Anolis sagrei: one gene and its partner. The protein of the gene in region 1 purifies or fractionates together with the protein of each later gene. This does not show direct contact. Links are inferred from orthologs where the notes say so. Each region holds a gene or a part of one and is shown in the gene's direction. Other genes may lie near its edges. The genes, in order: CDK19 and MED24.

Region 1 (11,705 bases):
TGTTAATTTGAAACGACCCTCCTGTAACGTAAAGCCATTACATCTGGTCTTAGTCTCTGAGGCAGTTAAAAGCAAATCTCCGTGACATCCCTGTAGATATTTAATGAACATTATAATGTCATCCCTCTGGCTTTTCTTCACAGTGCTGTGCATATGAACTCCCTCAACATTTCTTCATATATTTTGTTCTTCGTAGCTTTTGATCCTCCTTATTGACATTCTCTGTACATATGTTACAGTGGCCTAAATGTAAATTCATAGCAGAGGCATGGCACCTGCACTCTGGTCCAGAGGTTTTCTCAAATCTTTGAAGCAAGTTTGAAGACTACACAGAATTACCCCTTGTGTAAACAGGTTTTTTAATAAACTGTTTATTTTCGTTATGGTACATAACAGAAAAGCAAATCATAACAGATATAGTCAGGTAACAATATTTTTGATGTATACATGCCTATCTACCTTAGTCAATCAACCAGTTAATTTTGACATTGAGTACATATTATTATCAGTTACTGAACTTAAAACCTATAGACTTGCTATTTCTACGTTATCCACTATTTTCAGTCTAAGGTTTCTATTCAATTTTTTTCCATAATGTTCAGAGAACCAACACACAACGTATTACACACAGCAGACCATACAGAGGTAAACAGTTTTTTCAGTTGACAGGTTTTTTGGATGCTGGTCAGCATTCAAAAGTGATCTCTTCCTATTAAATGTACTTTTTAATTATCGCATGGAGCAGTTTGAAGACTCTAGCTCAGTTTCATGTAGAAATCCTCAAACAACAGACATTAGCCTCTATATATAGGCTATTAAGTCAGTACTGCATTATTGGTACTGTATTGAGCCATTTGGAAATTACTTGAGCAGGTTCCTTGTGAAAGCAGGTGAGGTCATTCCAATATACATAGTATGGATAATTTACATGATATTTACATCTATTAAGTTTGCATTTGCATCCCAGATGTTATTTTCAGATATTTCCTGTGTTTGAGCTCAACTATTTTTAAAGACTGATCTCAAGATCACAGAAACATTTATTTGGTTTATCATCAAGTTTAGGAACAAAGACAAACTACATTTGCAAAAAAAGGGCTTTAAAAAGTCAAATGGTTTTCTTCAATGTTGTGGTTTCACCTTTGGTCAATATTGTTTAGCTGTACAGCTATGCCCATCCCTTTTATGTTGTTACAGTCAATACAGGAAACTCTTACCACTATGACATTTTCTCTTTTGACTTCGGAATGCAATTCTATAAATTTCTACTGAGGTCTATGCTTTGCTGAGTTTTGTGAGATTTAATTGCAAGAAAATGTGCATTGGAATTGCAATTACAAACCTCAAAATGCTTATATTTAAAAATAAATATATCCCTTTGAATATAGTATATATAATATTTATACTTCAGCCAAAAGGGCTCCCAGAGCTTCATAGAAATTGTTGATTTTTACAATTTATAATTTTTGATTTATACCCCACCTCTCAAGTTGTTTAACATGAAACTGTTGGGTTTGGAGTTTGGTGCCATCTGTACATACACAGATAACACTCAACTTTATTACTCATTTCCACAAGATGCAAAGGATGCTGTCCTAACCCTGAACTGAGAATGAGCTGAGAATGAGGATGAACAAATTGGAATTGAATCCAGACAAGACAGATGTACTGCTGGTCAGTCATAGGGCTGATCAGGGTATTGGGCTGCAACCTCTGCTGGATGTCATCACTCTCCCCCTGAAGGCATAGGTTCGCAGTCTAGGGAGGAAACCTCCTGGACTCAGAGTTGAACCTGGAGGCCCAGGTGTTGGCGGTGGCTGGAAGGGCCTTCACACAGTTAATAATAATAATAATAATAATAGCATAATAATCCTGACCTCACAATCATGTTAAAAAACAAAGTATGTCTGCTGTGGACTCATAATAATAATAATAATTATTATTATTGTTAATAACACTGGGTGCAGTGCCTAAAGTCCTTGGCCTGCACTTAAACACAATCGGCGCTGACAAAATTACCAGCTGCCAGCTGCAGAAGGCCACTTTACTGGGATCTGCACGCATTATTTGCTGATACATCACACAGTCCTAGACACTTGGGAAGTGTCCGACGTGTGATCCAATTCAACAGCCAGCAGAGTGTCTGCTGTGGACTCATCTTGTTGTGTTTCAAATAATAATAATTTATTTGTATACCGCTCTATCTCCCCAAGGGGACTCAGGGCGGTTTCCAGCATAGGTAAAGCATTGCAATTACTGACATAAAAACATACAGAATAATCATTATAAAACAAAGGCTTCATACTATGTAACAGTCATACATATTTAAAATTAAAAGCCAGTTCAGTACTAATTTCTATTGGGCAAGTTCAGTTACCAATGGCCAGGATTCCAGAGTGGGCCTCGATAACTATGGGAGGGCTGGGCTAGTACAACAAAGTAGACTAGGGCCAGGAGAGTGGATAAAGTGCAAGCATGATCCTGCGTGATGGTCAGGATGGGACCTGGAGCTATTTATTTCCAAGGCCTGCTGCACAGATATGAGAGGGCTGGGCCAATAGGGAAACATAGGGCCGGGGAAGTGGGTAATGTGCAGAACAGGGCTCTAACTAATGGTCATTTCCAGGGCCTGTTGAATAGCTGTAATAGGGCTAATGAGGTAGCAGAGGGCCAGGTATGTGGGTAGAGTGCAGAGTGGGGATCTAACTGATGGCCAGGGTAGGACCTGGGGCTAATCACTTCCAAAAGCCTGCTGGAACCACCAGGTCTTCAGGTCCTTGTGGAAGGAGGCTAGTGATGGATCTTGTGGAAGGAGGCTAGTGACACCCACACCTTGAGAAGCCTGATCTGGCCATGGTAGTACATGCCTTAGTCACATCCATATTAGATTACTGTAACACGCTCTACATGGGGCTGCCCCATAAAAGTGTTTGGAAACAACAAAGGTCAGTGGCCAAGCTGCTTATGGGGGTGGGATATGGGGAAAGAACTCCGCTACTGCAGCTACACATGGTTCGAGCCCAGCCTACTTGAGGGACTGCATCTCTTTTTACCAGCCCACACGGGCCTTGAGATCATCAGGAGAGGCCCTTCTCTCAGTCCCACTGCTGTCACAAGTGCTGTTGATGGGAAAGAGAGAGAGGGCCTTCTCGGTGGTGATCCTGCGGCTCTGGAACTCCCTTCCCAAAGAGGTGCAATTACTGGCCTTTCACTCACAAGTTAAAACCTTTTTGTGGAATCAGGCCTTTTCTGATAACCTATAATAGGCAATGACCAGGCAGCTATTGGTAAGGCACATCACCGAAGGCTATTTTGAACTTGGCGATATTTACATGGCCTAAAAAAGTGGAGCTTCTAGGATCTTATTATAATGTTTTTTAACCTCAATGGCCTGAGGCCCAGGGAATTTTTAATGGTACGTGTTGTATTTATTATGCTTGTTAGATATGGTTTATGTAATGTGTTGTTTATCTGTTAATTTGAGCGGTGATGTTCTGCTTTCTGTGTCATGTAATTTCTGCTATTTTTTAACCATTTTTTGCCACTTCGAATCCCACCCACGGGAGAAAAGTGGGATATAAATCAATCAATCAATCAATCAATCAATCATCCATTTCTTGCCTGGAGGCTTAATACCATGCAACAGACAAGGAAAAGGGGTCAGCAGTGGGGAAGGAGATTAAGTCCAGCAGATACGACCTCCTCTTCTCTCCCTGCAAAGTCCAGCAGTGGCACCTGAAATGGAGGGAGGGCCTCTCATCAGCTACCAGGGTTTGCTTTTGAGTGGACATACATAAGGCTGCACTATACCATATTTTATTCGTGAAAAGTGTTATATAGCTGAAGTAAGGTTTGGAAGATGGTTTATCCACCTGCATTTAAGTAACAAATGCCATTGTGGCACACCAGTCTGTGTTGGGAGAAAAAGACACTTTTCTTGACCCACTTTTCTTAACCAATTCAGCCTTTTGCTCTTGTCATTTGGTCTATGTATACAGTCAGGTTCCAGGCATGTAGCCCCCCCCCCCCCCCAAATTCTGATGGTGGTCCGCGAGAAGGCCTTACTGGTGCATTATTTAAACTGCTATGTTTATTCATATCATGATCTGATCACTATACTCAATATATCCCATATGTATGGGGGTATTGGGATAACGATACAAAAGGTTTGCTAAGGTAGACCCTCTTTCACTCAGACTCAGTCCCCCGAACCAAACTCAGCCCCCTCCCCCCCGAAACAAAATCCTGACTACGGGCCTGTCAGGATCCTATATATTAAGGAAAGAATGAATACTATCGTGCCTCTATTACCACCATTTGATGTATGAGGGTTTTTTCACATTTACATTAAATGAAAATGTCTGTTACATTTCTGGAAGGAAAGGGGAAAGCATTGTGGGTCTTGTGCTTGATAACTGACACTAGTATTACATTGAGAGATTTCCATATAATGCAGATGTTATGTGTTGTTGTTGTGTCTTTAAGTTCTTTCTTACTTATGGCAGCCTTAAAGTAAACCTATCATGGAGTTTGTCTCCCCAAGGCTGAGAATGTGTGATTTGCCAAGGTCACCCAGTGGGTTTCCATAACTAAGAGGGCATTCATTTGAACCCTGGTCTCCAGTCATAGTCCAATGCTTCATCAGATTGCCTCTTATGATGTCTTGATTCATTTCTTAATGCCTTGAGAGTGACAAAGCTGAGCAGAAACTCCCAGAAAGAGATGGGGGCAAACCAGCAGAGACAATAATTATTTATCTAGGTTGATTTGGAAGTCAACAGGTTTCTCATTCAGGACACCCCCAGCATTACCCTAACATGTTTGTCCTTATGGGAAGAAAGAGAGGCCACTCTGGTGGTTTATTGCCCTCACATTGGCACCAATTTATGGTAAGAGTATGAATGAGAGGCTTGCAAGACGCCCTTCCATCACAAGCCCTGCTCGAGTCCACAGACTCAAGGCTGTGGCTTGCTTGACTGAGACAATCCATTTGTAATGTGGTTTTCCCTCTCCCCCCATTGCCTTCTATTTTAACAAGCATTATTGTGTTTTCTAGTGAGCCATGTCTTCTTGTGACATGGCCAGTCACAATTTAGTCATCATGGAAGGGTTCAGGCTTGCCTAGAGCAATAAAAGATAAAGGTAAAGGTTTCCCCTTGACCTTAAATCTAGTTGTGTCTGACTCTGGGAGGTGATGGACATCTCAATTTCAATTGTCCGTAGACACCTCCAAGGTCATGTGGCCAATGTGACTTCATGGAGCGCCGTTACATGGAGCGTCCTAGAGCAATAGGACCCATTTATTAGTCTTTTTCGTAGTCCATCGTATCCGCAGGACACTTCTCCAGCAACACATTTCAGATGACTTCATTTTCTTTCTATGAGCTTTATTCACTGATTGGACTGCAAGGTTGGCAGAAGCTGGGCATAACAGTGGGAGCTCACACCACTCCCCGGATACGAACCACCAACATTTCGGTCAGCAAGTTCAGCAGCTCAGCAGCTCAGTTTAATCCGCTACGCCAGGGGTTCTCAACCTATAACTCCCAAATGTCAAGGTCTATTTTTCCCAAACTCCATCTGTGTTCATATTTGGGCATATGGAATATTTGTGCCAAGTTTGGTCCAGATCCATCATTGTTTGAGTCCATGGTAGTCTCTGGATGTAGATGAACTACAACTCTCAAACTCAAGGTCAATGCTCACCAAGCCCTTCTAGTGTTTTCTGTTGGTCATGGGAGTCCTGTATGCCCTGGTTTGCTCAATTCTAATCATGGTATTTGATTATAGGTGAACTATAAATCCCAGCAACCACAACTCCATATCTCTCTCTCTCTATCTATGGCTGGATGGCTCTTTGTCAGGAGGACTTTGATTACATTTTCTTGCCCCGATGAAGGGAGTTGGATTGGATGGCCTTAAGCATTTTCTGATGGTCATGGGGGTTCTGTGTGGGAAGTTTGCCCCAATGCTGTCGTTTGTGGTGTTTAGAATGCTCTTTGTAGGTGAACTGTGAATCCCAGTGACTACAACTCCCAAATGTCAAGGTCTATTTCCCCCCAAACTCCACTAGTGTTCATATCTGGGCGTATTGAGTGCTTGTGCCAAGTTTGGTCCAGATCCATCATTGTTTGAGTCCACAGTGCTCTCTGAATGGAGGTGAACTACAACTCCTCCATTGCCCACCCAATCCTTCCAGTATTTTCTGTTGGTCATGGAGTTCTGTGTGCCAAGTTTGGTTCAATTCCATCGTTGATGGAGTCCAGAATGCTCTTTGATTGTAGGTGAACTATACATCCTAGCAAGTACAACTCCGAAATGACAAAATCATAATTTTTGAGTGATGGTCACTCCTTGTGTTGTGAAATGTTTTGTTGCCAAATTTGGTGTGATTTCGTTCATTGGTTCTTTTGTTTTTGAGGTACTCATTATGCACAGAGCATTTATATATATATAGATTACCTTCAAGTTATGTGTGTTCACGACGTTCGTGCCTAGACACGGGTCCCATCTGCAAGTTATCTAATGTACGTCTATGTAAACACAGATACCTCCAAACGCTGGCTTAGCATAAGGGACGCTCAACCTATCGCGATCACTGAGCAATGTCAAAGCAACCAGCCAATGGGGGGGAGGGGGGCGGGTTCAGGAATGGAGCGGAGGCCACGTGACCAGAGCCATTCTCAGAATGTTTGGGGAGGGGGAAGGGCGGGAAACACGAAGAAGCCTCGTAGCTTTACATCTAAGGAGGGAGGGAGGGAGCCTTTGCCTCTGAAAGCCCCGCCTCTTCCATTGATTGACAAGTAGCTCCGCGCTTCAGTTTCGTCCTCGAAGCGGCCTCAGTGGTCAAGCGCGAGGAGGCGGGACGAGTTTGAGCCAATGGCGACGGGCGAACGAGTGGGAGGCGGGGCCTAAGCTTGAATGACAGCTCAGGAGATAAACAAGCTGCAGCGCGAGGCTCTCCATCAATCCTGCTCGGCGGTTAAAATAATAATTATTATTATCATAATAAAAGCCCGACCCGGGTCTCGCTCCACGTTTCCCCTTCCTCCCTCCGACTCTTCCGTCGCTGCCCCGCAACGTGAAGAGTCAGCAACTTCCCAGCACCCGCTCAGGAATGACTCTGAGGGGGGTGCGCGGCGGCGGCGGCGGCAACGCGCAGGCGCGGGGAAGCCACCGCGCCGCGAGGGCCGCCGGGAATCGTAGTCCCCGTCACCCTCCACCTTCCTCGAGCGCCTGCCAGTTCTGCCTCCTCCGAGCACTACGAATCCCAGGATCCCTTGCGAGCCTGAACAGCTTGGGAAGCCCTGGTTGAAGCGGGCGGCGGAGCGAAGTGTTTCCCCCTTCATAATACACGTACAAAAACAAAAACAATATATATATTTATATACATTTCCAAAAAACCCCAAGGAAATGGTAGCCTTCGCGCTCGCCTAAGCGCCATTCCCTTCTTCCTCCTCGCCCTCCACCTCCTCGTCCTCCTCCTCCCGCGCTTTCCTTCCATGGGTGAGAGACATGGACTACGAGTTCAAATCCAAGCTGGCGGCCGAGCGCGAGCGGGTGGAGGACCTCTTCGAGTACGAGGGCTGCAAAGTCGGGAGGGGCACCTACGGGCACGTCTACAAAGCCCGGCGGAAGGACGGGTAAGGAGCAAGGCGGGCAGGGCAGGGGAGGGGAGGGGGTTACACATCAGGCACGGGCAAACTTGGGCCCTCCTGGTGTTTTGGACTTCAACTCCCACAATTCCTAGCAGCCTCGGGCCCCTTCCTTTCCCCCCTCAGCCGCTTAAGCGGCTGAGGGGGGAAAGGAAAGGGCCCGAGGCTGCTAGGAATTGTGGGAGTTGAAGTCCAAAACACCAGGAGGGCCCAAGTTTGCCCCTGCCTAATGTATATATATCTGTATATCTTTGTGTGTATGGAAGTGAGAAGAATCTCCCACTTGGAAAGGAAATACACTTCTGGAAGAGTTATCATCATGGAGAAAAGGTGTCTCCACTGAAGCTTTCACCCAATTTCTTTCAGAATCCAATTCGACAGGGACAGAAAGTGGGGTGAATAATAATAATAAAACTTTATTTATACCCGGCTACCATCTCCCCAAGGGACTCGGTGTGGCTTACATGAGGCCAAGCCCACAATACAACAATACAATACTGTGCTGTCGCACGCTGGGCCTGTGCATAAGACTGTAGACAGGACATAAATTCTGTGTGCCCAGCGGGACGCCGGGGCTGCCTCAGATTAAAGGCCCTTGGATTTCCTTAAAGCAGAGTCTTTAGATTGCTTAAAGGTTCAACAGAGTTCTTTATTAATGAAAACAAACAGGTACTTTAAAGCTTTCTTAACAGTCTATAGGCTCTTTCAATCTTGTCCACAGGGAACAGGCACTATCTTCATGACTGGTATTTTAACTAATGGGGAAATCCTTAACTTCTAATCTGGACAGTCTGTCTTTGCCCCTGCACCCGGTACCAACTGTGTCTGGCTTCCGCAAGCGACCCTTACCAAGCAGAGCTTTGTAGACTTCCAGGGAAAAAGGAGTTCAGGTTTCGGTGATGGCTGGCTGAAGTCCCTCAGCAAAGGAACTGTAGGGCTGTACAACCCCGGCCAAGCTGTGGGCTGTATATCTCCCCGGCCAAGCCGTGGGCTGTATATCTCCCTGGCCAAGCTGTAGAAGACGAAGCTTTCTACAGGAGCTCTTGGTATTATGTCCTGCATGAAAGTCTTCGCTGTGTGGACTGAACCCAAACTGGCTCCTATTCCCCCCAAAACCCAAAAGGGGGTGGGACCAGGGAACCTAACTATAATTGACAGGTGGCTTGCCCTATGATTGCAGCCAAAAGAAGTCACCTATCTACAGAGCCCCTGAAACTCAGGACTGCAACAAACATTCAATGCAAAGCAAACAAAATTGGAGCTCCTGGTACAGCTGTACCTGCACAGGAGTGAACATTTCTGAACAGGAGCACAGACACGAAAACAGGGGTCACCAAACTTTTTAAACATTCAATGCCATTAGACGTACAACACATATAGACAGACACAGAGGCAATTTAACATTCCAGCTCGGGTGTCACCGTCCACTTGTGACACCAAGTCATTGATGGAGTACTTCCTCATTCTTACGCATGCTGCTGGAAGGTTTTATGGTGTCATAAATTAGTTAAATTAGCCTCCCCACATAAAACGGTACCTAAATTTCCTACTCAATAATAATAATAATAATAATAATAATAATAATAATAATAAAACTTCATTTGTACCCCGCTACCATCTCCCCAAGGGACTCGGTGCGACTTACATGAGGCCAAGCCCACAGCACATCAATAAACAAAGGCGACAACAAATAATCAATACAAAACAGTTAAAATAAAATAAAATAAAAACTCAAAACCAAAAAAATACACAATAAGCAATAAGCAATATCAATAACATACAGCATTTAAAAACCAACAGTCTTTTGGGCTGCCTAGGTCAACAGCAAGCTTGACCGTTAATGGTCGGGAGCTCACTCCGACCCAGGCTGGCTTTGAAGTCATGACCTCTCAGTGAGTAGTGATTTAATGCATGAAGTAAAGGAGGATATCTCATGAAAAGAGAACTGAGGCAGTTATTAAGAGTTTAAGGCAGGGGTCCTCAAACTTTTTAAACAGAAGGCCAGGTCACAGTCCCTCAAACTATTGGAGGGCCGGATTATAATTTGAAAAAAGCATGAATTAATTCCTATGCACACTGTACATATCTTATTTGTAGTGCAGAAAACACATAAAAACAATACAATAATTAAAATGAAGAACAATTTAAACAAATATAAACTTATTAGTGTTTCAATAGGATGTGTGGGCCTGCTTTTGGCTCATGAGACAGGATTGTTATTGTTGTTGCTGTGTGCTTTCAAGTCGTTTCAGACTTAGGTTGACCCTGAGCTATTTTTTATTTTATTTATCATGTCAGGAGGAACCAGACAGTTTTATTACATTTTTAACAAAACAAAACAAACAAACAGACAGACAAAACACAAAGTTTGCAAGCTTGGTAGTTGATTAAATGTCCTTTGACCAGTATCTGGCCACTTGGAGTGCCTCTGGTGTTGCCGCAAGAAGGTCCTCCCTTGTGCATGTAGCAGGGCTCAGGTTGCATTGCAGCAGGTGGTCAGTGGTTTGCTCTTCTCCACACTCGCAGGGCTGGGTAAATGACCTTACCTCGGGCCTTAGTTTGAGGATCCCTGCACTAAAACAAATACCACAGAGGTGTCAACCCTTCTCTATGCTATCCAAAGCTTATTTATTTGCCCGGAATTACACTTCAAAAATATACCTGCTCTGACTGACATATAAATTCAACTTAATTATAAACCTACAGAACCCACCTCAGGACAGTAATCCAAATCAAAATCCAATTCTCACAGGGACAGAAAGTGAAGTGAAATCTTCCAAAAAGGGGCACAGGGAGCCAAACAAAAACCATTGAGGTGTTAGCCTTGGAAGTGTATTTCACTTGCCTAGTTTCCAACAGACCCCTCAACTTCTGAGGGTGCCTGCCATAGATGTGGATGAAATGACAGGAGAGAATGCTTCGCAAGCGGACAAGAGTTATTTCTCCCACCCTGGACATTCCACAGATATATAAACCCCACTTGCTTAGTTTCCAACAGACCTCACAACCTCTGAGGATGCCTGCCATAGATGTGGGCAAACGTCCACAGATATATGAACCCCACTTGCCTAGTTTCCCACAGACCTCACAACCTCAGAGGATGCCTGCCATAGATGTGGGTGAAACATCAGGAGAGAATGCTTCTGGAACATGGCTATACAGCCCAGAAAACTCACAGCAACCTTTAGGGTTTTTTTAAATCTAAGTGTGTTTGTGGGTGTAGGTGTCAGCCAGGCTTTGAAAATATATGGCCATTCAAGGCTAATCAAGGTGACTAGTTGCAACATTCACACTTGCCTCAAGCAGACAAGAGTTCTTTCTCCCACCCTGGACATTCCACAGATATATAAACCTCACTTGCCTAGTTTCCAACAGATCTCACAACCTATGAGGATGCCTGCTATAGATGTGGGTGAAACGTCAGGAGAGAATGCTTCTGGAACATAGCCATACAGCTTGGAAATTCACAGCAACCCAGTGATTCCAGCTGGTTTTCAGCTGCCCTGGAGACTAGGATGCTGAACAATGGCTTCAAAAAATAGGAAAGGAGATTCCACCTGAACATTAGGAAGAACTTCCTGACTGTGAGAGCTGTTCAGCAGTGGAAACCTCTGCCTTGGAGTGTGGTGGAGGCTCCTTCTTTGGAGACTTTTTAACAGAGGCTAGGTGGCCATCTGTTGGGAGTGCTCTGAATGTGATTTCCCTGCTTCTTGGCAAAGGGTTGGACTGGCCGGCCCACGTGGTCTCTTCCACCTCTATAATATGATGATTATATGAAAGCTGTTGACAACACTTCTGGAAGAGATATCATCATGGGGAAAAGGTGTCTCCACTGAAGCTTTCTCACTAATCCGTGTTTCCATAGCAAGCCAAATTTTTCAAAATTCTATTCTTACAGGGACAGAAAGTGAGGTGAAATCTTCTGAATAGGGGCATAGACAGCAAAACAAACACCTAAGGGATGTTTACTCTTCCCTATGCTATTCAAAGCTTATTTATATATTTATTTGGCTGGAGTTAAAACTTCAAAAATGTATCTGCTCTGACTGA
Region 2 (11,916 bases), on another chromosome or scaffold:
TAAAAATGCTCGGTGCATAATGAGTACCTTAAAAACAAAAGAACAAATGAACGAAATCACACCAAATTTGGCAACAAAACGTCTCACTACACAAGGAGTGACCATCACTCAAAAATTATGATTTTGTCATTTGGGAGTTGTAGTTGCTGGGATTTATAGTTTACCTACAATCAAAGAGCATTCCAAACCCCACCAATGATGGAATTGGGCTAAACATCCCACACAGAACCCCCATGACCAACAGAAAACTCTGTATATATTACAACGCATGCGCAAAATCACATATATACATGCAAATACACAAATAAACATATATACACAAATAAATATATACACATATATTCATATATACACACACAAAACACATACACACAGAAAGGGGGAAGGAAGAAGAAAAAGAGGGAAAGAAGGAGTGAAGGAGAGAAGGAAGGAAAGAAAGAAAGGTAGAAAAGGAAGGAGAGAAGGAAATAAAAAAGTGAAAGAAGGAAAGAAAGAGAGGGAAGGAAGGAGAGAAGGAATGAAAGAGAGAAAGAGGGAAGGAAGGAAGGAAGGAAGGAAGGAAGGAAGGAAGGAAAGAGACAAGGAAGGATAGAACCAAAGAGCAAAGGAAGGGGGGAAAGAAACAGTTAGAGAAGGAAGAAAGAAGAAGAGAAAGTAGAAGGGAAAGAAAAAGAGAGAGGGAAGGAAGGAGGGAAGGTTGGCCACAGCAATGCGTGGCGAGTACAGCTAGTACTCTATAAATGAAATTCTACACTGTATCACAGACAGATTTTGCCATCCCACAGAATTGTGACCAACACACAGCCCTCATTTTGGGGATAGGGGACTGCAGGAGATGGCCTCTTGACATTGTCAAAATCATGATCTCTTTCACTGTGTAAACTATCTTCCAAGAAAGTCTAGGTCACATCTGTGGCAACATCCATTCCTTGGGCAAGGAAGCCGACAGCTCAGCAGGCTCCCGCGTTCGGTGAATCAATCTCCACCTCCTCACTTTCATTTTCATGTTGCTGCTTGATTTTTCCAGGCAGATGGCGAACACTGCAGAGTCCTCCACTAGAAACAGACCAGCACATGACAGAGATGGATGCTGGAATAGTCAGAGACGTGAGAACCACAGACAGACAGAATGTGACTTTCTGGAAAGGCACGGAAGATGAGATTGAAAGAAAATGTTATCAAATTCCTTGATGGGAAAAGCAGGCTTTTTATCCAGTGAAACGGTGTCCGTCTTTAATATCCTTACTGGTGAAATATAGCTGTGCTTCATATTAAACAGAGCCCAAATGCTGCTTTTATGCAGGAGATGCTGGTGGCAGGAAGCTAAGGAAAGACAGAATGGGTTTTCTAACCTTCCCTTTCATGCTGTAAGATAGCCTGCTGCCCTTAGGTCATATTCCAGGCCATAGAAAGTACTGAAGCATGTGTTGTCAAAGGCACTGGATGCGATAGAGATGCTCTGTCTCTGACCTGTGGCAGTAGTGGGGTGGAGTCCAACCACACAAGCTGGTTTGGCACTGCTAGGCTGTCTTGTTTTTATTGCCACAGCAGACAGCGATAGAGGGAAGCTGCCCAGTGATAACTAAGAGATCTCCATCCATCTGTTGTGGCAATGGCCGCATCCATCTGTTGTGGCGTGACCGCATCTCCATCTACGAACCCACACGCTCACTCCGGTCATCTGGAGAGGCCCTGCTCGTGATCCCACCTACGTCGCAAGCGCGCTTGGTGGGGACACGGGACAGGGCCTTCTCTGTGGCGGCCCCCCGACTTTGGATTGCCCTTCCAAAAGAGCTTCGTCAGGCCCCTACTCTAGCAGTTTTCAGAAGGAACCTAAAAACTTGGCTGTTCCGTTGTGCCTTCGCAGATTAGGAATCCCCATCCCAAGTCCTAGATGCACTTTAGCACAACTATTGTTGCTGCACACCGCACTTTTAATCTTACGTTCCTCCTGCCATCTCAGCACTTTTAACCCTGTACCCCATTGCGCTGGCCGAACCAGTTTTAATAGTGTCTTGATGTATTGTCATTGTGGTTATTTTGCTTAATTGTTTTGATTTGCTTTGTTTATTGTTGTGTTATGTTTTCTATTGTATTGTATTTGAGGCTTCGGCCCGTGTAAGCCGCATCGAGTCCTTCGGGAGATGCTAGCGGGGTACAAATAAAGTTAATAATAATAATAATAATAATAATGGCAATCATGTGTCCCCAATCCATCCTCTTTTCCTTGCACCACTAAGTGCAGGGAAAAGGGAATAGCGGCCGTGGCTCATGTGGACAGTGAACTGGTTTGGATTGCAGCCTGTTGTACTGTCTACATACACCCTTAAGTACAGGGCTGCTCTAAACTATGCCATTTTGTCTTTTTCCCATTTGTTGACTTTGTTTAGTGCTGGGTTAAACTGGGTTTGCCCAATTTACCCAGCATTTAAGTCGCTTCTGGTTGAAGCGACTTAAATGCTGGGTAAATTGGGCTAACCCAGATTTAAATCAAGAAATAGTTTCCTAAGATCTACAGAGACACTCGCTGGAACACCCCAGCAAGCGAGAGTCCAAAAGTGGCAGACTCAAACCCAGAGCCTCAATCAATGGCTGATACCAAATGAGAGACTCCCCCCTGGGCACACAGAAAACTGGGTGACTTGGAAGGCGCTGAACAGACTGTGCTCTGGCATTACGAGATGCAGAGCCAACCTTAGGAAATGGTGCTACAAAGTGGAATCCACAACATGCGAGTGTGGAGAAGAGCAAACTACAGACCACCTACTGCAATGCAACCTGAGCCCTGCCACATGCACAATGGAGGACCTCCTTGCGGCAACACCAGAAGCACTCCAAGTGGCCAGCTACTGGTCAAAGGACATTTAGTCAACTACCAAGCTTGCAAACTTTTTGTATGTTTGTTTGTTATGTTAAAAATGTAATGCAACTGTTCGGTTGCCTGACACGATAAATAAATACCCAGCATTAAGGATCGGAAATCCCTAGATAATGTGGGACAGCCTTGGTTTCTGTCCTGATGGTAGCTTCTTATCCTGAGTACAAGTTATGCAACATCCAGTTATTTAAAATTAACCCCAGATTTTTCATCATCTACGCAATCGAAGTCTTTGCTATAATCTATAAATCAGAGGCTTTTCCTGAAATTCGTTTGTGTGTTTCATTATCTCGCATAGGCATGCAATGTGATCCTTAGTACCTCTTCCTTTCCTGAACACCCAGCTTGGACTTCTGGGATTTCTTGCTTAATTTCTGGTAAAAGCTTGTGTTGAATAATTTTATTTCGCTTACATGAGAAATTAATGCAAAGGTCCTACAGTTATGGTACTCACCAGTGTCTCCTTTCTTGGAAATTGAAATGAACATTGAATATTTCCAATCTGTGAGCCATTGCTTTGTTTTTCATATTTGTTGTCAGATTTTTGTCAGCATGATTATATATTCTTTCTCTTAGCTAGTATATTTATTTATTATTTATTTATTTGGGGTTCTTTTACCCCGCCCTTCTCACCCCGAAGGGGACCCAGGGCGGCTTACACAGTAAGGCAACAAATAGATGCCAATATCACAACAATCATCACAACAATCATCACACTTACAGTAAAATTTCACAGTTAATAACGGCTTCATGCATTATTCCAGTAAAAATTTATTATTTCTCTTAGTCTGAAGCAGGTCTCTGGGGATATAATTTGGTCCTGGTGATTAATTTCTTCCAATACCCCTTTCAAACAGCTATATAAAATCCACATTGAACTGAATTATCTGACAGCGTGGACTAAGATAATCCAGTTCAAAGCAGATATTGTGGATTATCTTCCTTGATATTTTGGGGGTCGTTCCACACAGCCCGATATCCCAGCATATCAAGGCAGAAAATTTCACAATATCTGCTTTGAACTGGGTTATCAGAGTCCACACTTAGATAATGTGGGATTTTCTGCCTTGGTATTCTGGGTTATAGGACTGTGTGGAAAGGCCCTGGATTATATGGCTGTGTGGAAGGGCCCAAAGTGTCTTGAGTGTAGCTTCAATTCTTCTTTCTAAAAGTATAAGGTCAAATACAAAATGTTCTTCATTGAATAAATCTGCCATCCTTTCATCTCTTTTATATAATCCAGCAGTATATTGTCTCCATTATCTTTTCATTTTTTCTTGGTCATATAATGCGTTCCCCTTCTGGTTATAGAGCACCCCTAATCTTGGTTTAAATTTCCCTTTAACTCTTAGATCTTGTAGAATAGGTCTCATGGGCTTCCTGTTTTGTTTTTACCTTTTATTTATTTGCATTGATTATGATAGTAGTTCTCCTTGTCTTTGTACACAAGTAATTTAACAGTTACATTCATGGTTTTGACTCTATTACTTGTTGCCTTTTACTTTGCTCCATGTTTGTCCTTAACTGCTTGAAGAGTTACATATATCCATTGATAAAGAGTTGTGTTAAGGCTTCTCTTTTTTCTTTTTGGATTCAGATATTATTTCTCTCCCCCCACCTTCCTCTTCGTCTTTTCCACTCTGGATTCAGTCCAGAGTTCTTCTGGCTCCTAGTCAAATAGGCTTAGTTGTACAAAATCTATTTTTACATTATCTTTAAATTCTGTGATTATGTTCTTTAGGTTGTATTATGCCATATCAGTTGGTTTAAGTGTTCTTCCTTAACTTTAACTCTTATTTTTTTAGAAGCCTCTAATAAACTCTTCTTTGCAAATATTCCTTTGGAAATTTAATCCACAATATCTGCTTTGAACTGGATTATCAGAGTTCGCATTGCCATATAATCCAGTTCAATGTGGATTTTATACAGCTCTGTGAAAGGGACCTCCATTAACTGGGGGCCCTTCCAGACAGGCCCTATAACCCAGGATCGGATCCCAGGTTTTCTGTTTATCCCAGATTATCTAGTAGTGCAGGCACATATAAGGTGAAGCTGTCCCCTTGACATTAAGTCTAGTTGTGTCCAACTCTGGGGGTGGTGCTCATCTCAATTTCTAAGCCGAATAGACTAGCATGACTGCATGGAGTGCTGTTGCCTTCCTATTGATCTACTCACATTTGCATGTTTTCGAACTGCTAGGTTGGCAGAGCTGGGGCTAACAGGAGGAGCACACTCTGCCCCCTGGATTCGAACCACCAACCTTTCGGTCAGCACGTTCAGCAGCTCAGAGGTTTAACCCACCAGGGGCTCCATGCAGACTCATATAATCCAGTTGAAAGCAGTAAACCTGAGATCAGATCCTGGGATATAGGGCCTGTCTGGAAGGGGCCCGCAACTCAAGCAACTGGCATTTTTTAAAAAAAGAAATAATGTTTTACATTTAAATTATGTATCTTTTATATAAATACATTTTAGTATGTGTATCAGTGGCATTTTTACAATATTTACCTATTCAACTTGTATGCAGAACACATCATGCGATATGTGTGGCTTGATGAATTCAAGGCTGGAGTTAAAATTGCCAGACGAAACATTAACAACCTTAGATATGCAGATGATACCACTTTGATGACTGAAAGCGAGGAGGAGCTGAGGAGCCTTCTAATCAAGTTGAAAGAAAAAAGTGCAAAAGCTGGGTTGCAGTGAAACATCAAAAAACCAAGTTTATGGCAGTCAGTCTGATTGACAACTGGCAAATAGAGGGAGAAAACGTGGAAGGAGTGACAGACTTTGTATTTCTAGGTGCAAAGATTACTGCAGACGCAGACTGCAGCCAGGAAATCAGAAGACATTTACTTCTTCGGAGGGGAGCAACGACCAGTCTCGATAAATTAGTGAAGAGTAGAAACAATACACTGACAACTAAGGTCTGCATAGTTAAAGCAGTGATATTTCCCGTAGTAACCTATGGATGTGAGAGCTGGACCATAAGGAAGACTGAGTGAAAGAAGATAGACGCTGTTGAACTCTGTTGTTGAAGGAAAATTCTGAGAGTGCCTTGGTCTGCGAGAAAATCCAACCAGTCCATAATTCAGGAAATAAAGCCCGACTGCTCATTGGAGGGAAGGATATTAGACGCAAAGATGGAATACTTTGGCCACATCATGAGAAGAAAGGAAAGAGTAGAGAGGACAATGATGCTGGGGAAAAAGGAAGGAAAAAGGAAGAGGGGCCGACCAAGGGCAAGGTGGATGGATGGTATCCTTGAAGTGACTGGATTGACCTTTAAGGAGCTGAGGGTGGCCACGGCTAACAGGGAGCTCTGGCATAGGCTGGTCCACGAGGTCACGAAGAGTCGGAAGCGACGGAATCAACAAAACAATGTGTTCCAATTATTCTGTAACCCGCCTCGAGCCACGAGGTGAGGCGGTAGAAAAATAAAATTATTCTTCCTCTTATTATTATTTACATTTTAAAAGTGTGATACAGTAAAACAGTAAAACTGTGTTACATTACATTTGTTTTTATTTGATTTCAGTGACTGTATTTCAATATCAAGTCAGTACAGAGCTTATGATATGACATAGTATGGGATGTAGTATTAGTTAGGTCAATTTTAATAGTAACTCTCAAGCAAGCAGAAATTATGTTTATTTGACATCTACTAATCCTCATGGGTGCTGATTAACCGAGAGCTCTCTCTCTCTCTCTCTCTCTCTCTATATATATATATATATAAGGTAAAGGTAAAGGTTTTCCCCTGACATTAAGTCCAGTCGTGTCCGACTCTGGGGTGTGGTGCTCATCTCCATTTCTAAGCCGAAGAGCCGGCGTTATCCATAGACATCTCCTAGGTCAAGTGGCTGGCATGACTGCAAGGTGCGCTGTTACCTTACTGTCGGAGCGGTACCTATTGATCTACTCACATTTGCATGTTTTTGAACTAATAGGTTGACAGAAGCTGGGGCTAACAGCGGGAACTCACCCTGCTCCCTGGATTTGAACTTGCGACCTTTCGGTCAACAAGTTGAGCAGCTCAGTGCTTTAACCCACTGCGCCACAGGGTATATATATATATATATATATATATATATATATATATAAAATTGTGTGTGTGTGTGTGTGTATATATTATCTCATTTAAAAGTATTCACATAATAAAGGATAGTTAGTATGGAGTTTGCAGATTTATTTTCTTTATTTATTACTTTAGTTTGTGTGAGTTCATTATAGTAAGCAGACTGTAGCTGTGCTCCTTGGTATTATTATGGCCTTTCTATTATGTTCTTTTTCTCCCTCAAATAGAATAATTCCTTCAAAAACCCCATTACACTCCATTGGATTCAAATAAACTACATCCCCCACCAGCCCTTGCGCCTTAGGGATCGCGCCAGCCAATTAGCGCACGGCTCTTTGCGAAGTGGGAAAATGGCGGAATCCAGGAACTGAGAGGCGTGTGTTTCTTTGTATAGGGAAAGGAATAGGTAAGTGGACCAAAGGAAAACAATGAAGAATCCTCAGTTTTTCTCCACTTTAATAACCAAACCCCCTTTGGTTATTATGTCTGCCCCTTTTACACTGCCAGATAAAATCCAGATTCTCTGTTTTCAACTGGATTATATGGCAGTGTAGACTCGGATAATCCAGTTCAAAGCAGATAATGTGTATTATTTGCTTTGATAATCTGGATTATATGGCAGTGTAGAAGGGGCCTCTTGAGTTTTGTTCACTATATGAGTGACCTGTTTTTAGTCTTGCAAGGAGTTTGTTTTACTAGAATCCACATGGTCTTACGATGTAACTTAAGTTTAATGCAAAATGTAAACTTTGCCAGAGCAGTTCTACATGTCTATTCAAAAACAAGGCATTTTCTATTATTATTATTATTATTATTATTATTAACTTTATTTGTACCCCGCTAGCATCTCCCGAAGGACTCGATGTGGCTTACAAAGGCCAAGGCTTCAAAAAACAACACAACAATACAAAACCTAAAGCAAATTAAAAACAATCAAAGCAATATTAAACAACAAGCAATAAACAATACACCAAGACACAATAAAACTGGGCCGGGCAAGAGTAATGGGTACAGAATTAAAAGTGCTGATGTGACAGGTGATATGTAAGGATTATAGGGTAAGTGCAGTGTGCGGTGTGCAGTAGTCTTAATTCTAATAAAGTGCTTCTGGGACTTGTTATTGGAGTTTTCCTATTCTGGAAAGGCACATCGGAACAGCCAGGTCTTCAAGTTCTTTCTAAAGCCTGCCAATATAGGGACCTGCCTAAGATCTTTGGGGAGGGTGTTCCAGAGTCGGGGGGCCACCACAGAAAAGGCCCAGTCTCACGTCCCCACCAAACGCGCCTGCAACGCAGGCGGAATCACGAGCAGGGCCTCTCCGGATGAACGAAGTGTGCGCGTGGGTTCATAAACGGAGATGCGGTCACACAGGTAGGATGGTCCCAAACCGTTTAGGGCTTTGTAGGTAAGCACCTGCACCTTAAATTGGGCTTTCTAAATATGATTGTATGATATTGCAACCTAACTACCACAGTGAGTTTTATGTGATACTAAATAATGTTTTTCCCCTTTTCTTTCCATACTCTTAATGCAGTTAGTTACTAGTTTAACTGCCTTGGATGAATGCTGTTGAATTCTGGGAATTGTGATTTGGTGAAAGCCCAACACCCTTTAGCAGAGAGGGTGAATGACCTTGTGAAACTACATTTCCCATCATTCCATAACATTTGAGTGGTATCAGACAGCATCAATTCCACGGTGTAGATGTACACTGAGGCTCCTTCTACACAGCTAAATAAAGCCCCCATTTTCTGCTTTGAACTGGAATATAAGGCAGTGTGGACTCAGATAATACTTGTTGTTTATTTATTCAGTTGCTTCTGACTCTTCGTGACCTCATGGACCAGCACTCCAGAGCTCCCTATTGGCTGTGGCCACCCCCAGCTCCTTCAAAGTCAAGCCAGTCACTTCAAGGATACCATCCATCCATCTGGTCCTTAGTTGGCCCATCTTCCTTTCTCCCAGCATCATTTTCCCCAGCATCATTATCTTCTCCAAGCGTTCCTATCTTATTATGTGGCCAAAGTACTTCATCTTTGCCTCTAATATCCTTCTCTCTAACCCAGTTCAAAGCAAATATTTTGGGATTTTCCGCCTTTATATTCTGGGTTATATGGTGGTGTGAAAGGGTCGTGAGTGTCAGCTCTTAGGTCTCCATAGGCTAATATTTTATTTTTTTCTATTTTGTAAGATTCCTTGTAAGCATATGATCCAGATGAAATTAGCTTTCAAGAAACCGGTGGTAGGAGATATGTAGCCTCTCAGCCTACATTTACAGTCTAATCAACTTGATATCACTTTAACTGCTATGGCGCTATGTTATGGGAGTTATAGTCTGGTTGGGGGCACTAGCCCCCTTTGGCAGAGAAGGCTGAAGGCTTTGTGAAACCACAGCATTGAGCCACAGCAGGTAAAATGTTGTCAAAATACATTATTTCTACAGTGGGTACACCCTCTGGTATATATTTTCCCAGGCTCCATGTACACTGCCATATAAAATCCAGATTATCTGCTTTGAACTGGATTATATGGCAGTGTAAATCCAGCTTCAGTTGATTTTTAAAGAGAAGGATCAAAAATGCAAAATGACCTTGTACCTGAAGTATGTATCCATAGGGGTCCTTCTGCACAGCTGTATAACCCAGAATATCAAAGTAGACAATCCACAGTATGTGCTTTGAACTGGATTATCTGAGTCCACACATATAATCCAGTTCAATGTGGATTTTATGCAGTTGTGTGGAAGGGGGCTAGGACTATAAATTAAATTTCCCAACAAAAATAAAAACAAGCTCTCAAGTGGCCCAAATCAATAGGTCTTAGCCTTTGTCAGGGTTAAGACCAATTGATTGAAATTCCCAGAGGAGCTTTCCATCACTCCTGAATGACCACACTTGTGAGCCAAGTGTGGTTCAGTGGCTTGAGCATTGGATTATGACTCTGGAAACTAGGTTTGAATCCCTTCTCGGCCATGGAACCCATTTAATGACCTTGAGCAAGTCATACTCTTTTAGGCCCCTTATATACTGCCATATAAAATCTGCTTTGAACTGGATTATATGGCAATGTAGGCTCATATAATCCAGTTCAAAGCAAATAATGTGGATCATCTGCTTTGATAATCTGGATTATGTGGCAGTGTAGAAGGGGCCTCAGTCTCAGAGGACGGAAAAGGCTAACCTCTTCTGAACAAATTTGGGATCCTTTCTAGTTAGGGTTTAGGCTATGAAATATGCCATTTTTACTGTTATCATGCATATTTGGATTGTTTATTTGAACTTGCTATGATGACCTTTACAAAATGATTCAGAGTGCATCAATCCACCCATAATTTTTAATTTGTTCACCACATTGTGAATCTGTGTACATGTATGTCACACTGGACCAGTGAACTTCACCTGATTTTTGCCTGTTTAACCAGTTTGGAGAGATCTGTTTGGAATTGTTAGTCATTTTGGATTCTTCCATTCTGAACTGGGCTTGGAATGTTTTTTTAAAAAAGAAATTGGTTACAGTTGCTGCTGATGCTACTACTTACTATTGTTTTGCTTTTTAGGTATTTTGTATTCCTATTAACATACATTTTAAAGGACAAGATATATCACCAAATGCTTCGTACAATAGCAGTGTTTTACGAGTAATGAATAAATAGTATTTTTTTAAAAGGAACCATTATTTTCTTTAAAAACAAAACAAAAGAAGCCATGCCTTCAGTACCCCTAGAGGTGACAAGAAATAATGTTATACATTACTTTCAAGCAAACAATTGGGTCTGAATAATTTCGTTACCAGCCTCTTCTTGCTTTTTCAGATCATTTGTGAATATTAACAGCATGGCTTAGGGTGCATCTACACTGTGGAATTGATGAAGTTTGGTATCACTTGAACTGCCATGACTCAGTGCTGTGAAATCACAGGAGTTGTACTTTCATAGGGTCTTGAGCTTTTGTTGCCAAAGGATGCTGGTGCCCCCCCTCCCCCAATTACAAATTCCAGGATTCCACAAACTAATTTTCAATTTGTGTTCAAACAGGGGTCATGGTTTTCCCTCAACTATAGTTTGTTTCAAAGCTATCTGATTTCCTATTGTGGCTTCTACAGCTGATGTGGTTCCCAATAAACCAAGTTTAAGGGAAAATCAAAATAAATTTCTGGAGTTCTCCTAACTGGTCAGAAGGAAGGGCAGAACAAGGTTTCAAGCATAGGTGAAAACAAGCCTAATTCATATCAGTAATGTGGGTTTTCCTGAAAAGTAGAAATGTTTCCAGTGTTCTTAATAAGAATACATTATTTAGCATGTCTCATTGACAAACTTCTAAAGGTTAATGTGGAATTTTTCCCCATTGGAATAGGAGTAATAATGAAACAGATACAGCATATAAGTAGGGCTCCCTTATGCGCTGGACAAATAGCTGAGGTTCCACTTGCTTATGTCCAAAAACATACTCCATCATGATTCTATGGTAGGCGTCTGCTAGAAGTTGACAGTAGTTGCTCTGGAGGACCTAAAAGTCCTAGAGAGGTGTTATCTTGAGGCATTTTTAGGCCCTCCAGTACCATTCTATGGTATGATTCTGCCAGTTTTGTTTCCACCTGAAGTCCAAGAATGTATCCCTCTGGATATGGGAGTTGTACTGCAGTTTGCAATGAAAGTTGCTTGCGGAGTTTACAATGATAAGTGCAATATGTACAAACAGCCAAAGTTTCCAAAACAACACTGCACAGAACCGAAACAGATATATCTTACATCCACAATTGCAGAGATATCACTGCAGCGTTTTCATTTTGAGAAACGTCTGATTTAATTCAACTTCAGTCTTACTAAAGGCTGGATGAGAATCTATGGTCACAGGCAACCTTTTACACTTTGTCTTGACTGTTTGGGATATAGGAAGTTTTGCGAAATAGAAACAAACTTTGCAATGTGTCTAGTTTATTCCTCTAAGCATCAGGCTTGTCA

The links.
Region 2: the proteins of CDK19 (region 1) and MED24 purify together in Homo sapiens (affinity purification with mass spectrometry; 6 studies listed by BioGRID and IntAct, counting the BioPlex papers as one, with this or other methods). This does not show direct contact. The link is inferred for Anolis sagrei from reciprocal best matches to the Homo sapiens genes CDK19 and MED24.

The regions. Positions count from the first base shown.
Region 1 is NC_090021.1:93,108,316-93,120,020, forward strand, and holds the start of CDK19 (cyclin-dependent kinase 19), read left to right. Parts: upstream 1-7,234; 5' UTR 7,235-7,515; coding exon 7,516-7,643; intron 7,644-11,705.
Region 2 is NC_090026.1:40,874,177-40,886,092, forward strand, and holds the start of MED24 (mediator of RNA polymerase II transcription subunit 24), read left to right. Parts: upstream 1-7,290; 5' UTR 7,291-7,362; intron 7,363-11,916. UniProt on the Homo sapiens protein: Component of the Mediator complex, a coactivator involved in the regulated transcription of nearly all RNA polymerase II-dependent genes.